2 linked regions of the Lepisosteus oculatus genome follow. The protein of the gene in region 1 interacts with the protein of each later gene in a biochemical or structural test. Links are inferred from orthologs where the notes say so. Each region holds a gene or a part of one and is shown on either strand. Other genes may lie near its edges.

What was found.
Region 2: the proteins of dnm2a (region 1) and snx9a form a complex in vitro, tested with the Homo sapiens proteins (2 studies listed by BioGRID and IntAct, with this or other methods). The link is inferred for Lepisosteus oculatus from reciprocal best matches to the Homo sapiens genes DNM2 and SNX9.

Annotation. Positions count from the first base shown.
Region 1 is NC_090706.1:19,999,560-20,007,303, reverse strand, and holds the start of dnm2a (dynamin-2), read left to right. Parts: upstream 1-4,694; 5' UTR 4,695-4,873; coding exon 4,874-5,034; intron 5,035-7,744. UniProt on the Homo sapiens protein: Catalyzes the hydrolysis of GTP and utilizes this energy to mediate vesicle scission at plasma membrane during endocytosis and filament remodeling at many actin structures during organization of the actin cytoskeleton.
Region 2 is NC_090697.1:22,099,905-22,108,025, forward strand, and holds the start of snx9a (sorting nexin-9a), read left to right. Parts: upstream 1-4,856; 5' UTR 4,857-5,216; coding exon 5,217-5,228; intron 5,229-8,121. UniProt on the Homo sapiens protein: Involved in endocytosis and intracellular vesicle trafficking, both during interphase and at the end of mitosis. Required for efficient progress through mitosis and cytokinesis. Required for normal formation of the cleavage furrow at the end of mitosis.

The sequences.
Region 1 (7,744 bases):
TGTTTCACAACGGTGTGAGCTTCTCCTATTAAACATGTCTGGGGCTTGTTAAATTTTGTGCCTTGATAAAAGAATGCTGTAGTCCTTTAAGTCAATATATACAGTCTGTGCTCCAAACAGTGCAGAGCTTAGGCTTTGATATTGAGTTGTAAGGTCTGTCTGAAAACAAACAAGGAATGCCCTCTTACTTAGTTTGTAAGTCAATACCTTGTATTGGTGCCCTTTCAGTCTTTAACATGATATCTACAATACAGCACAGACTGTTTTCCTTTTTCTCCTTTCTTGTTTTTATTTTCCAGTCTTCTGTCTTCCCTCCTTGCTTTGCCACTTTGCTCTTATCAGTGTTCTTACTAAATTTAATTGAAACCAAGACTTACAAAAAAAAATGACAGTTTGAAAGATCAGGGTTGCCAGCCCTGTTCTCAGAACACAGAAAGAGTCATCTGGTTGTCACTCTTAATAATTAAACTGGACCAATATGACATCACTCTCTTGACCTTCATTGGCTCACTGAATATGCCTATAGGGCCTGAAAGACTACAGGTGCCCCTGTCCTGAAGTTGGGGACCACTGTTTTAATTCATTAAATGCCTACTGGTAGCTGAATTTACCCTTCCTTCCAAGCATCTTGAACTCAACCACTAATCTCCCTAATTCAGAAGTTATTCAAAAGATAGATTGCAAGAGTTAAATTACAGTACCTTTATAACAATTTTAGAAACTGGGATTTAGGAAAAGTGTCAAATTGAGAATAAAATCATTAGTTTCATTCAGGGTTATCTGCCAGGGTTAAACAGAGCTTTATTTTATTGAAGAGGGACAGTGCACAGTTCTTAAGCTGCACCACAGTAAGCCTAAAAGCGAATTTACATCTGGAGTCCCTGGTTACAACACAATGAACAAAATACAAGACACAGACATTAAAAAAAAAAACATCTAGAGGCAAATCGGATGATAAATCGATATTACAAATGGTAAGGTGAACCGAAAAATTCCAAAACGATGGCATGTTGAATTAAAAAATTATCAAAGACCGCAAGAGTCACATTAGAAGACAATTAGGAAATGAAACATGACAGCTTAGACTATAAATAAAAAGCGAATAGTCAATGACATGATGATAGTCATTAAAAAAGACATCAGGATATTACAGATTACGTGACTTTCTTGCAAATGAAAAGTAGAAGACAAATCACTGGGCTTCCTATGAAAACATGGAACACTGGTATTCCTTAAGGAATACATATTGAGAATACATATTGTGTGCCTTGCAGCTCTGCATAATACACTAAGTAAGGAATCACCTGGGGACCGCTCAATTTCAGATACATTATGGAGTTGTAACACAGTCTACTTAATGGGTTCAATTAGTTAACTTAGTGAGCAAGGACCAGAAAACCCAGAAAACCCAGCAGACAGGAAAGGAATACTCAACTCTGGTCCTGAAAATCCCAACATCATTCCAGCTCAGTTCTCAGTTATTTTAATTAATTCCTTGATTGAACTGAATTTACTCAATTGTACTTGACACCATTGCCAATTGTTTAAAATGTGCAGTTTTTGTGTTACATTATAAAGTACAATAGTCAAAATGAAATCTCCGACAGTTTATGGCCTGAAACCCATCCCACAGGTCAAATGAATCATTCAAGAAAAAGCTAAAACAATGAAGAGCCTGAGAGAACGCCTGCAGATACCAGGGTACCCAGGACCAGCACTGGGAAGTTCTCCTCTTGGAAGAATTTTGAGCACAAGTGCAATCAAACAAAGGTCAAGGGCACGAGCAGATAGTTATATCTTAAGGCCGCATGGAGACGTCTCTACCAAGAACCTGTGTTTTACAGCACCGAGGGCGATTAGGTCTGGGTAAACAGGCGCTAACACTATCACTCCAAGATTTGCCCGGGCAGGTAGGTGCCTCCTGTTAACATTTGAGCTTGACATGTTTACTGAAGGGGTGGCACAGTGGAACACTGGTTAGCATTGCTGCCTTGCAGTGCAGTGGCCCTGCGTTCAATTCCTGCAGTGCTATCTGTGTGGAGTTTGGATGCTCTCCTCATTTTAGTTTGTGGGGGTTTCTTCAGGGTGCTTCCGATTCCTCCCACAGTCCAAAGACAATCTGATGGGTTAGTTACCTTGTGGGAAAATTGGCCCTGGTGTGCGTGTGTGTGTGTCTGTTTATGATTGTGTGTCAGACCTTCAATTGACTGGTGTCCCATAAAGGGTGTATCCTGCCTAGCTTGTCCGGAGAGTCTCTAGCTCCCCCAGTGCCCGTGACCTTGAAGTTCATAAACTAATTAAAAAAACAGATGGATGGGTGTCTACTGAAGTTTTCCCATGTGTCCCTGAAGGTGATGGCTCACAGTTTCTTTGTTCAGCCTTTTTCTAAAAATGCTAGGATAGATCACAGGGTGTCCTAGGAGGCTGTGCAATGCAGGTGACTCAAGGCAGCTCTGCTGAAAGGTTGAAAGGAGTTCCTGTCTCCCACCATCCTTTGTGTAAAATGTGCCTCCTGCTTTTGTTTATAAAGGCACTACGGTGTTTAAGATTGTCTCAGCAAAAAGAGTTGAGATCAATATTGAAGTAGTTATATACTGGTTTTATGTAGAAAGGGCCTGATATTTAATCTTGGTTTTCAATAAGCATATTTAACCGAAGAGCATCGATCAGATCTGAATTATGAAACAGTTTAAGATGTTTTTTATATATCCCGTTTTCTCATTTATTTTTTGATGTTTCTCGAGTGAGCCATGAATACAAGATTAAATTTACTAAACCCTCTCTGAAGTTTATTCGGTATTGATATTTTACAAAAATTAAAATGATGTCGCGCTACTGGAAATGCGCTTCGCATAATGATTTCCCTTAGTTGTAGTGTAAAGCTGTAGTATGTAATGGTTAAGCGCGCTCTGTTGGCTGGGTTCGTCAGCGTTGTGCACAGTCATACTGAAACTGCCCCACCATGTGGCTCTCAATGAGATAGCTTTGGGAGAAAAAATACAGAGTTAAATATGTGAAATCTACACAAGCTCAAGACCTCCTTTGTTATTTTGGGACCTCGTATGATAAACAGAAAACGTGCCGTTGAAGTTGGAACTGGCAAAAACGTTCAGAGACAGAAACAGTCTCTGAGATCCAAAGACCAAAACCGTTAGAAGTAAGAAAAGTCATGAGAGACTCATTTGGATTATTGCAGTTAATTAAGCAGGGGATGTCTTGGTGTCGTTGATTGACAAAAAGCAAGAGTATTGGCTTCAGCATCCTGGCTGGTAAGATTGTTCTAGGCTCCCACTACTCTTTGTGCATATGAGTGCCACTTTTTCTGTGTTAAAAGCACTTCACCTACAGTAAGTTTCCCTTGGTGTACTCTGGTTCGTGTTTCCCTGTTGATTTTGAAGACTTTTTATAGAATCAACTTCTATAATTTTTTTAAAACTGCTGCAGGGTTTAAAAAAGGTGTTCTCGATAATTTTAGCTGAAACGCTGCTTGTACCCTTAAGCAAGTCGCATCACTCAGGCTACTCCAGCGTCAAACCGAGCAAATTGATAATGACCATGTCATCACAGTAAGCGAGAATTCGTTTTCAAGTGGTTTATCTGGTTAAACTGAAGTGAGGTTGCGTCAAGTGGCCTCTGATAAAAGTTCATCCTTCATTTTCTAAACGTTTTATCGAGCTTGCTGAGAACGACGGACTCTAACCCAGTAAGCAACAGGCGCAATAGCGGATACACCAAAGGGGACGCCAGTCCATCACTGGGCATACACAGATACAGGCTCCCACACCAGTGCAAGTTTTCCCAAACGCCAATTAACCTGTCAGCACGTTTTCGGACTGTGGGAGGAAACCAGAGCACCCAAAGGAAACCCACGTGAACGAAGGAAGAACATATAAACTCAACACAGACAGCAACCCAAGTCAGGAACTGAACTCAGTCAGAGCCCCACTACTAACCACTGCGCAATGCTGCCCCTGTTAAATGTCATTCACCACTATGAGCAAAAACATGTTATGAAAATAATCAAGTATATTGGCTTGCCAGTAATTTAGAAATGACGCAGGTCCGGCGTTCCTCTGGTCGCTTTGACTAAAGGCACATTCTACCTAAAAATATTTTTTTAACAACACAGTTGCTCGGTGGGTTATTTGTTGAAAAGTGTGTATCAGGTACAAAAGAATATAAACTCTTAATTTACAGCTGATGGTCATGGTGAAGGGCTCAATAGATTAAATTAAGTATTAAACGCATCAGTTTTATATTTCCCATCGACGAGTATGTTTTTATAATTTATAAAACAGAAGCGAGGCTTCTAGTGTAAAATAATTAACGAAATATAGCCTCTTATTCTTTCTGGGGCAACAGATCGGTTTAGAAAGGTAAATTTAGAAAATAAATTTAGAAAGGTTGTGTGTAGCTTCTAACGCAAACACTCATCGTACTGAAATCTTGGCTGTATTCCTGGGGTAGAAGAAACAGTCAAAGGCTAAAATGATTGACGTTCCAGATGGCCAATAGCGATGCTTTTTACAACAGCACCGCCCGAAATTTAAGACCACGCCCTTACTTACAAGACGAGGAAATAAACTATCCACCAATCGCCGGCCACTTCGAGAAGACGGGCATGCAAATTCGCCAGTGGTTTTGCTCCTTTTGCTTGACAGGAGGCGTGGTCTCTATCAGCAGCGGAGGTTGGGGTGTCGGCTGACCGGATGAGAGAAGTTTTGTTTCTGTCTGTTGGAGTTCTCCGTGTGTATGTTTGCGCTGCCATTTACGGCTGACTGGTTGAATTATTTTTGATCCCCGTTACCAGAGTTGGTGTGAACATACAGAGCTTTTTTTTTTACCAAATAAGTGAGAACCCGAGTGCGCAGCCATGGGGAACCGGGGGATGGAGGAGCTCATTCCCCTGATTAATAAACTTCAGGACGCTTTCAGTTCCATCGGGCAAAGCTGCAACCTCGACTTGCCGCAGATCGCCGTGGTCGGCGGGCAGAGCGCTGGCAAAAGTTCAGTCCTGGAAAACTTTGTCGGCAGGTAAGCCGTTTTTTAAAAAGCCCGTTTCCATTTCAATTCCAACCAGAATCTGGCGGCTCGGCGGAGCGATTTCCTTGTTTGAAAAAAGGTGTCCGTTTCCCGTTTAGGAGCAAGTGACATTCACAAACAGCGTTTGCGAACCTATCGCCAGGCTGCAGGTGGAAGCGAGGGTATTGCCAGTGAGACAGCGTAAATTACGCTACTGCCGTATCTCGCAGAGTGTGCGGAGCTGTGCGGACTGGGGCTGGGAGGAGAAGAAAGGGTTGTCCGAGGAGTTACGCTGGGGAAAAAGTGCGGAAATCTGTTACACCATGACGTAATTACTAGTGGAAGGACACACAAATACTCGTCCTTCTAAAAGTTTTTTCCCCAGTCATGAGTTATTTTTGTATTATTTTTTTTAAACTAACAAATTTTCTTTTCACCTCAGCCGCCCAGCTGCTCTGTCCCCAGGGGATCCGGATCCCTGATTCTGTCTCCTTTGTTGTCCCGGATACCGGCATTTTAAAATAACCTTTAATATGTAGCAAACACAGAACCGGCACATATGCTAGAAATTAAACTTATAAATGCTAAAATGTTTGCGATTTACCGAGAAGTGACTATCGTAGTTCTGCAATAATGAATGACTTCGAGTTGGACGGCTGTTTTTTTATTTCGAACACTTTCAAAAAGCAAGAATGTTGTCTGTCGAAATACTTGTCGAGTCCGTCAAAATGCTTTTCTTTATTCAAAAGCTATTAACATCAAGGTGTTGTTTTAAAGTCGGCTTTGTTCGTTCGAGTCTCTTATCCCTTACGTTGCTGAAACGGTTTTATAAAATATAAGCTGTCTTTTCCGATACACCCTTCACGTTTTTTATTATTGAAAACAGTAACCCACCTTTACTGTCAGTATGAAATACATTTTGATAAACTTCCTAATTAATTATGGTCATACGCAAAGTATACATATTTTACAATATTCATATTTATAAAATGCCACTATATGAGAACTAGCTGATTGCCAGACGTGTAGACGGTATGATTGCTGATGGCTAAAATAAGCGATTGTAACTATCGAACTGGTAGCTTCAAAGGAAGAAGTAAAGGTAAATTCCACCTCGAAAAATAGAAAAGAGAAACGCAGTTTGGGCTTTTGTGCCTTCTTCAGGTGTGACACCTCTTGTTTTTTTTAGCGTGGAATTAACATTTACTGGTATATCACCAAAGTCAGACACATCTACTCGACCAAATTCTCCTTTATATGTAAAATAGTCGTTTTTAGATTCGGAACTGGTTGCACCAGTTAAAAAAAATGCAGTTGACAGGTTTTTTTTTAACGTGGTCCTGCTACCATTCCAATGGATATTTTCTCCTTGTAGAACCTGTGACACCTGTCGCACCTGTGACAAAAGAGTTTTTGAAGCTTTCTGTTTATCCCTCACCTTGAAATTTGAATTTCCTTCAGGAGTTTCCTTAAGAAAGGCTGCACTACCCTGATCTTGGCTAGTGACCTAAACTCAATTGTTGGTTCATATTTCTTACTGTGAGTTCAAAGCAAATTTTGATGTACAGTATTTAAAAGAAAATCCTAATTGGGCAGCTTCTGCTGTCACAAATTGGCTCCAGTATTTATGTCACAGAGCCTTATTATGTATCAAAAAGAGGTACAGCCAACATTCTTCAGTTTGTGTTTATGTATAACAGTGGACATCCCAACACAACCACGTAATTGTCCTATATAATCGGTCACAGTGAATAAGCAGTGCTTATTTGACCACAACACGGGCTATATCCTACAGAGCTTTAAAAATGTGTTTTTTTTAGCCAAAATTATATTTTTGTCTGATTTCATCTTAACTGTTTCCAAGTGGAGAATGTTGTATATGCATATGTTGTAACTTCTTGGGTGCACCTGCATACTGTTGGACTTCATTTTAGAAAATTGTGGTCAAGGAGTTTTGTTTTGGATGGGAGGAAGGTTAGTAATTAGAGGAGGCTGTTTGACCCATTCCGCCAAATGACGTTTGGTAGTTGGTACTTAATTGATCCCAGGGACGTGGCCAGCCATTTATCCAAAGAAGCCAGAGTATCGGCTTCAACATCATGGCCAGGGAGCTTGTTCCATACTCTCACAACCCTTTGTGTAAAGAGCTCACATTTAAATGCAGTGAGTTTGAATGGACAATGTGGTGTGCCTGTTGCCTGTATTCTGTTTTCAAAAGTCTAGCTAGACAGTGAAATCTCAAAAAATACATCTTGTAAAGGGCTTTATATGTTCAGAAGGGTGTAAGATGAGCTATGGAAATGAGTCCCTGGTCCTAACCTGGGGTGTTTGCATTCTTTGTCTGCAGCTAGAAGTGGACTTGAAGGTTTTGTAAACTGGTGCCTGACTCTAAAATACTGAATATCTGTACCATCCTGTCCTCACAATGTACTGGGATTATGAAGTATGCCTTCTTTATTCTTAAGCAGCCATATCACTCTGCAACACACAACTGGCAACCCACAGAAGCTAATCAGGTGTGAGCCTGGTCAGTACCTGGATGGGAGACCTCCTGGGAAAAACTAAGGTTGCAGCTGGAAGAGGTGTTAGTGGGGCCAGCAGGGGGCGCTCACCCTGCCGTCCATGTGGGTGCTAATCCCCCAGTGTAGTGATGGGGACACTATACTGATAACAGGCGCCGTCCTTCGGATGACGTGTAAAACTGAGGTCCTGACTCTCTGTG
Region 2 (8,121 bases), on another chromosome or scaffold:
ATTCATCTCACTCTCCAAGGTTGGAAACAACTAATTCCTAATCTTAGGAATCAAAGAGTGGCATTTTCTAATTGACAGATTGTCTATTGATGGTCATGGGCAGAGAATTAACAGTCCCAACCAGAGAACATGATTTAAGTTTGTTCAGCTGGTGCTTTTTGCAATATCTTCAGTATAATCCCCAAATCCAGGTTCTATTGGTGTGCAGTGCAGCAGGAGGTGTGGTGTCCCCTTATGTTCTCCTTCTCTTCCCTCTGCAGTTCATAGATACTTAACCATTGAGTTATTAAGAAAAAAAGAATCAAGAATTATTTTAATCAGAGCATTAAGAGTAATATGCATGTATGAAATACAGAATTGTAAACTTTTTAATGTGCTGCAGTCTGTCTGTTGAATTCTTTTCATAGTCTTCAAACAACGTCTGAAAAACCTGATTATTTTGTAAAAAGTTGTTTCCCTCTATTCTTTCAATCCTGTTTTCAGGCTGAAAATACAGCAAATATATTGAAATACAGCTGAAGGTATACTTAAAATGTCTACTTAAGATACTGTACTTAAAATGTATCTTTTATCGTGTTCCAGTTAAATTATTGTGGCAAGCTACTGTATAACTTACCCTTCACTAAGTTATTTCTTTAAAACTTATTTTTTGTCTAAATTAGCTCTTCTGGTATGACGTTGTCAATTGTCATTTACAACTGTAGAAAACATACAGAACGGTACCTTTTTTTATATTCTTGTGGTCCACTAGGTGGAGGTAATGTAATGGAAATTCACAAGTTCTACACAGAAAAAATAAATCTGCAAATCTGCATTAGTTCTAGAACACAGGTATAAACGTTTGAGTTGATGTTTCACCTGAAATACTACAATTTTGAATTCTAAATTCTTAATTAACATTTTGTCTAATTGTTCTTAAATTTTGTTATATTGGTTTACCATTATAAAACTAATTTCCATTTGTTTTTAGCAGTTATTCTTCCTGTTAGAACGACAGAAATCACATCCTTACCTACAACCTGAAACCACCTAAAATGTTCTGTAAAATGTCAGCTGCTATAACTCTGTGTGGAGCTATAACTGTGTGGGAGTCTGGTTAGAAGTGTTACAATTATGGAGTGAATTACATTATCAGAACAATTAAGTAACTGAGACTAGTTGGAACAGAAAACAGAAGATATTCAGTCCTCCAGGAACTGAGTTGGAGACCCCTGTTGGATATGGAGCCTTCCAAAGGAGACAGTTCAGTTTCCTTTGCTGAGAACTCCTTTGAACTGATGTGACTTTCTTGACTCTTTGCTCCTATCTTGGTTATGAACTTTCTTCTTTATATACAAAAATATTTTGTTCAGTAAAATAAACCTATATAGATATATTTTTAAACACTACGCATTACTCACAATTAAAAACAGTCATAGTCTTCTGAACTGATATACTTATCTGTAATTTCTTGATTCATTAAATGTAAACCTTCATGTATTCATGTAATCAAGGTTTATTTATTGTATTATTTAATGATTGCAAGACGGCAACTCGCAGTTAACTTGTTTTTAGTGATATCTGTCAGCATTGGCCATATTAAAGATAGAAAAAGAAGAGAATGATACACTTAGGTACTTTACATATAATCCCTGTTACAGGGCAGTGTCACAGAACGCAAGAGGGGGCAATGTTCTTTATGATATACAGTACCTCTTCTGTTTTTCTGTTCGTACTAGCCATTTGTGATATTAACAAAAGCTGAAGGAGAAGTAAAAAGTAAAATATATATATATATTTCAGCTGCATAACCTCCTTCAAGTGTGTTGGGTAACAAATGTCAGACAAAACATCTGAAAAGTAAATAAGTAAATCACTGAGTGGGGAAGAAGATGTCAACTAAGTTTAAGGATCATTTTACCTTTTGATGTCTTTCTGATACAGCAGACTTTGAATTTCTTTGAAAGCATACAGACTGCAATAGTTCCTCATTTTACCTCTCCTTACCATGATTACACTGACTATTCTGTCAGTGGCCTTTCACCGGGATTCAGAGCTTGGCCCAGGGCTAAGAAATGCAGAAACATTTGCCTTTTAGACCCAACCCTGATTCCAGGCCGAAGGGGCAATTGTGCAAAGACCTTAAGACCATGAGAGACAGAAAAGACAATTTGAAGGTTCAGGGGACAGGGGATGCCAGTGTATCGATTGCAACACCTGCTGTTTTTTGCTCAGGAGTATAGTAAGTCATGTTTAGCTTTGCTTTGTGCTTTGGGCCTTTAAGTGAATTTGCTATCCTTGTGTACTTTGTAACAGTAAAGAAAGCAAATCTGCACTGAACGTGAAAATTAAATTGTGAAATTGCTGTACTGGTTTCACAATTCCCCCTGACCTAAACGTTCTGTTGAAAAAAATTTGGAAAGAACTTGATAGGGAGGTAAAAACTGAAGAGTGCAACTAAAATGCATAAACAGAGAATAGAATAAAAGGGAAAAATATAAAGAAATATATTTTAGAGTTGTTGGAGATTCTTGGTTACCCAAAAGTGGCTTACTCCACGAGGTGGGCTTGTGGCAACTTGGGTCATAGCAGTTAAGGAACCAAAACCTGCCACATGCTTAAACTGGAGCCAGGATGAACCCAGTGCCATGAAGAGTCCGAAGACGCAGGCACTGTGGCCATAGAGCTTTTGTTAAAGGAGTTTGTCTAGCCATCTTGTATGTAGGTCACCTTTCAGCCTTTGCCACTGACAGACCAGCTACTGTATGTGGGTTGGCCTCTTGACTGGTGTTCCCTGAGGGTGTGAGATCAGGCAGCGGGTTCAGGCAGCTTGTGGTTGGTGAGGGTAGCGCCCCAGCTCTTGCTCCTCAGTGCGCAAAGCCTTCCTCTGCACACGATCTCCAGAATAAGGAATCTCCATTCAGATGGTGCTCATCTGGTTGGTTGTACTGTAGTTTTGTGATCCAGTGGGCCAACTTCCCCTTGGGCTCTGTGTGGGAGAGAAGCCAGTGGAGGGTTGAAAGATCCATGCAAAAAGAGAATAGGAGCCTACAAATGTCATGTCACGTCATTTGCCAAACCGCTTTTTACCATATGATGTCATAGGAAGCCGGAGCCTACCTGGCAAGCAACATGTGCAAGGCAGGGTACACCCTGGATGGGGCGCCAGTCAATCACAGGGGAAGTGCAAGCCAATCATACATGTGGACAATTTGGAGACCACGGTAAAGGCAGAGGGCAGAAATCTGGCCCGGACTCCGGGATAACTCCCTACTCTTATTGAGAAATGCCTGGGGATCTTAAATGACCACTGAGAATCAGGACCTCGGTTTAACGTATCATCCAAAAGACGGGCCCGCAAATGTGGTTAATGTAAATTGGGGAATTGGGGAATTATTACTGAATGTGAAGTATACCCTGTCTGCTGAAAAGGTATTTTTCAAATAAATATTATCGGGTTTTGACATTCTCTAAACTTTCTTCCTTTCTACAAAGCTCTCCTGACAGCTGCCTCAATGTCAGCCTAAGAACCATTTGAATAACTGTTTTCTTTGTTGATTTACATGATAAAGACACTTCTAGTGACATTTTAAGCAGGGGTGGCACAGGTAGGATATTTGCACAAGGTAGTGGAGGTCAGCAGCAAAGATCTCAAGATTCTCACTGGGCTGTGACACACAACACTCGGGTAGTGTCTGTAGCACCAGCATGGTCACCACGCTTCCATAGAGATGAACGCATCTAAAGACTTTAAACAGGTTTCGCACTTCTTTTGGCATTTTTTCTTGCCCAGACAAGACTTGGCCTATCTCCAGCATGTTTCTCCGAGCTTCATCCCTGGTGAGAGGTCCTGTCTCCCTCTTGGCCTGCATCAGGAGTCTGCTTTCCATTCGTCTTTTATGCCTTTGCTTAGACAGGTGAGGAGATTTCTCCTATACTGACAATTCCCCAGCAGTGTAGGCTAGTACAGTAGGAGAGCAGGTTCACTAAGACTTATTGTCCTTAAAGATTACAGGTACTGTAACTGTAAACACAAGGGGGTTGGGTGTGGAGAATGAGCGAAGCTTCTGCTAGCAGTGCATGAGGTATAGAGAGAGGCCTCCCCTCCTTATACAGGGTGGGGATAGAGAAGCACGTGAGCTAAAGGTGACGGGTGGAAGGTCAAAGAGACGTTTAACACCAGGCAAATGTTACATTATTATATAAAATAATTTAATATTAGTATGGTTTATGATATCCATATACTATTTTAATTACGTTACAAGCTGTATATTATACGGTTACAATAGTGAAATGGCAGGTCCGCTGCGGTTCCCCCTAATTTAACGCTCTATTTTAAATAACGTTAAAGGAATCAAGGTCCTGTATTTATCAAAACTTGAATTCCTTTTGTTGTCAAAAGGGGATTTCAAGAACGTAAGCTAAGCGCTTGGCAAATACTGAATTTCATCCAAAGGTCCCGAAGCACACATCTAGGAAAGGAGCAACATTTCAATTCGGTGTGCATGACTTGGGGGTAGAAACCAACACGTATCAATTACATAATACATACATTGGGTTAAGGCTAGAAATGCTATGATCAAAATTTAAAACATTTAATACATTTTCTACACCACTTGGTTATAAGCGATAACGATCAATACAATAAATAACTTGATAAAGCTGATGCAATGAGACATATTTTATGGCCCATTTACCTCTACGTAAACCATACAGCAAACCCATATTCATTTTTAAATAAAGACGCATATCTATGTTGATTATGCCTGGTATAAAAAATGTAGTTTAGAAACTACTAGTACTGTATATAGCAGCGATTTCGTAGGACAGCGCCCTCAACTCGTGCAGCGGAGAAACAGTTGAACCGTATCTGCAGGCTGACTTGTCATAAATATCTTGGTGTTGCTTCCAGATCCTTTCCGGTTTTGTTCTCTCAGTATAAGACGCAGGGCTCCACTAACTTCGCGCCGTGCTCGGGATACAGGACTAAACTGAAGCTGAAATCTAGCGAAACTCAGTCCGAAGTGGATTACTTAAACTAGAGTCCTCTAAACTGCCTTTTCCCCTCCTCGGGTCAAAGGGCAGTCTGTATTTAGTGATGTATTAAAATTAGTTCACCAGCACTCCCAAGAAGAACTGCCTTGTTTTCGCTCAGTGGCTGGAAAAGGGAATGGCTGATTGAGGAACCGATAAAGTAACTTTTCAAAAATATTTTAAAATAAATAAATGAAGCAGTAATGGCTTCGAAGGTAAGGTGAATTTTATGCTATTGTTTTTTAAAGTTGCATGCATTTCTTATTCATTTTCTAACTGCCTCGATTATGCAGAAGCAAAAACTGGAGGTACAGTTTCAGCCTGAACTAAAAAAAGGTCTATTCAGCTTAGTTAAAAAACAGTGTTTTTAATCTTAAAGGATGTATTGGTTTTGCAGTCGAACATAAAACACGCAATCGTATGCACCTTTAGCGTAAGAACTCTGTTTAAGCGCCCTGTTTATTCTCCATCGAAATATGTGCAGTATATATCATTAAAAGTGTCTTGTGACATTATTCCACCCTTCCAATGCGGGTCATATCAGACGCAAGTAATGTTGGGATTTGTAGTTTCTGGACACGCGAGGTTATATGTAACGTGAAAAATGCTCAAATAGAAAATTAACCCAGTAAATGAGATTGTATTCTTGTCTCAGTTTGTTTTACTAAGTGGACAAACTGCTTAAAATTGTGACTACAGCATGAGTACTACGTATGAAGATGACGTTGTAATATTTATGTAGCCAAACGTTGTTTTTTAAAAAGTTTTATTATTATACCTGCTTATGGATAAAGGCTATCAATAGAGTACCTACAGTACACAGTTTATACATTATGGCGAGAAAATTTTGACGTGTGACCTTTTAGGCAATATTAAACATCGTTAATAAAAGGGGGAAATGAACAGTAGTACCCAGAAAGTTAAAATGTAAATTTCAACGCAAGGTTTCAATTTAATTTGCAGTGTCAATTATTGGTATGTTCTTGATTAAAAAAAAATCAGACTGGGTGGAATCCTGCTTTTACAGTACGTACTGTATAGCATATGTTTTTTCCCTCCTTGAACATTTGTTTTGTAAAGGTTAGCTATATACAGTATTATTGAGCAGCAACTTGCAATCCAGCAAATAATTTTAATGTAATGACCTGTCCTGTATTTGGAATAATTTTCAAAGCATTTTGCTGTAAAACAAAAAGTGATTTTGATGCCTTCTGAATTAAGTTTTAAAGCATGAATCAATCAAGACACACCAGTTGTGATGGATGGATGCATTTAGCTTGTAAATGTTTTAGCTGAATATTCTTCTACACAAATGTAAAACAACTTAACATCTAATTTCATGGCACTATGTCATTAATGTATTTTACTGTACTCAGCAGTTAAATGCAGAGTCAGCTGCTTGCATTAGTTTTACATCAACCTAAAATGTACTGTAAAATATGTAAAAAACTATTAAAAATTATTAAATGTTAATATAACTAATACTATTATAGTATTATATAGTTGGCAATTCTTTCTCAGTGGTTTAGTCAATATAAAATATCAAATAGAGTTTGTCTGCATTGGTCCACATGTTCATCTTGTTGCTGTAATTTAAATACATAAAGACACTTTGAAATAGATATAAGGAAATAATTCAGGACAGATCCAGTAATTCTAAGATAGATTGAAAAAAATTGGATGCCACTGCAGCCCCCTGTATACCTGTATACCTGGGGCGATATGGATTACTTAAGAGGAAGAAAGTTTTACCTACTGTTCATGCTCCAATGTAAGCCACAGTGCACATTTGCAGAGTGTTCATGTCATTTTTACATATTCAAGTACAAGTTTAGAATTATAAAATAATTTGAAAATGTCAGCATTTTAATTTCATTTTTGCTACCTTTTTTAAATAGCCCTAGATTCCTTTGCTTCAGAAGTGTTTCTTTTGAACAGTGTGCAAAGTTTAGGCTTTGGATGTTTCACCAAACTTGTATATCAACACCATGTGATTCTGCTAAACAGAAATAATTGAAATCATGCATGAAGGTGTTTTGCTGTTTCTGGGTATCCTGCAAATGCAGTTCTTATCTATAAATATTTATACAAATATTTGCACTATTTTATTTCCAGTGTTTTTTTCTGCTCAGTGGTGATTCACGCTAATGTATTTTATTAAATTCTTTAAGGCTGAAGACATACAGTAGTATGCATGGTAAACCACTATCCAAAGAAATTAATATACTCTTAGTGTTTTATCCGAGAAATATTGTCTTATAGTAAAACATAATTAATTGAATGTTACAACAAATAATTTATCCAGATTCATAAGGCTATATCACTTATATATCACTGATTTTGTTTATTTTCCTTATATAACAAAATTATACAATGGTTAAGCTTTAATAAAATTATTTTTCTTTCAATTAGTATTTCACAGGCTGAGAAAGAATTTCTGAAATGAAATGGCATATCATATCTGTTTTGTAAGGATTGTATTGGTGACATAATGTTTTAAGAGACAGGTGCTGTTTGTGTAGTACTTTAAAACTAATTATTATTGATGTGTAATAATTACCAGTGAAATTATGTTGTCTGTGTAATTGTAACTTGTAATTGTAATGTAATGTAATTTGTTGTTATGGCTTGCAAAGCCCCTATGTCACGTAATCTCATACAGAAAGGAATTTTTGGGAAAAGAAACTGAGATCCAGGTCAATTCGTATACTATAAGTGTTTGGTGCTGAACATTTAAAACCTCTGACTGATGATTTGGATATTGTGTTATATAGTACCAATTAGGATATGTATCACAATATATATATACACACACACCACAATCACCCTTCAAAAATCACTACCTGACCATGCCTCAGAATATTTTTCATGGTATGAGGAATTGTTCTGTATTGTTTACATTTGCTGGGTGTATCTCAAAGTGAAGGTATCTGGTTGAGTCCACAATCTGAAAAAGGAATATTAAAAGCACAAGCACTTTTCTGTAGTGAGGTAGATGTTTTCATTGCTCTTATGAAAAAAATGACAAATAAACTGAGAGGATAAAAGATGAAGTGAAAGCCAAAGGATTCGTTCTTGCAGTTGACGATAGGACAAAAAACAAATTGC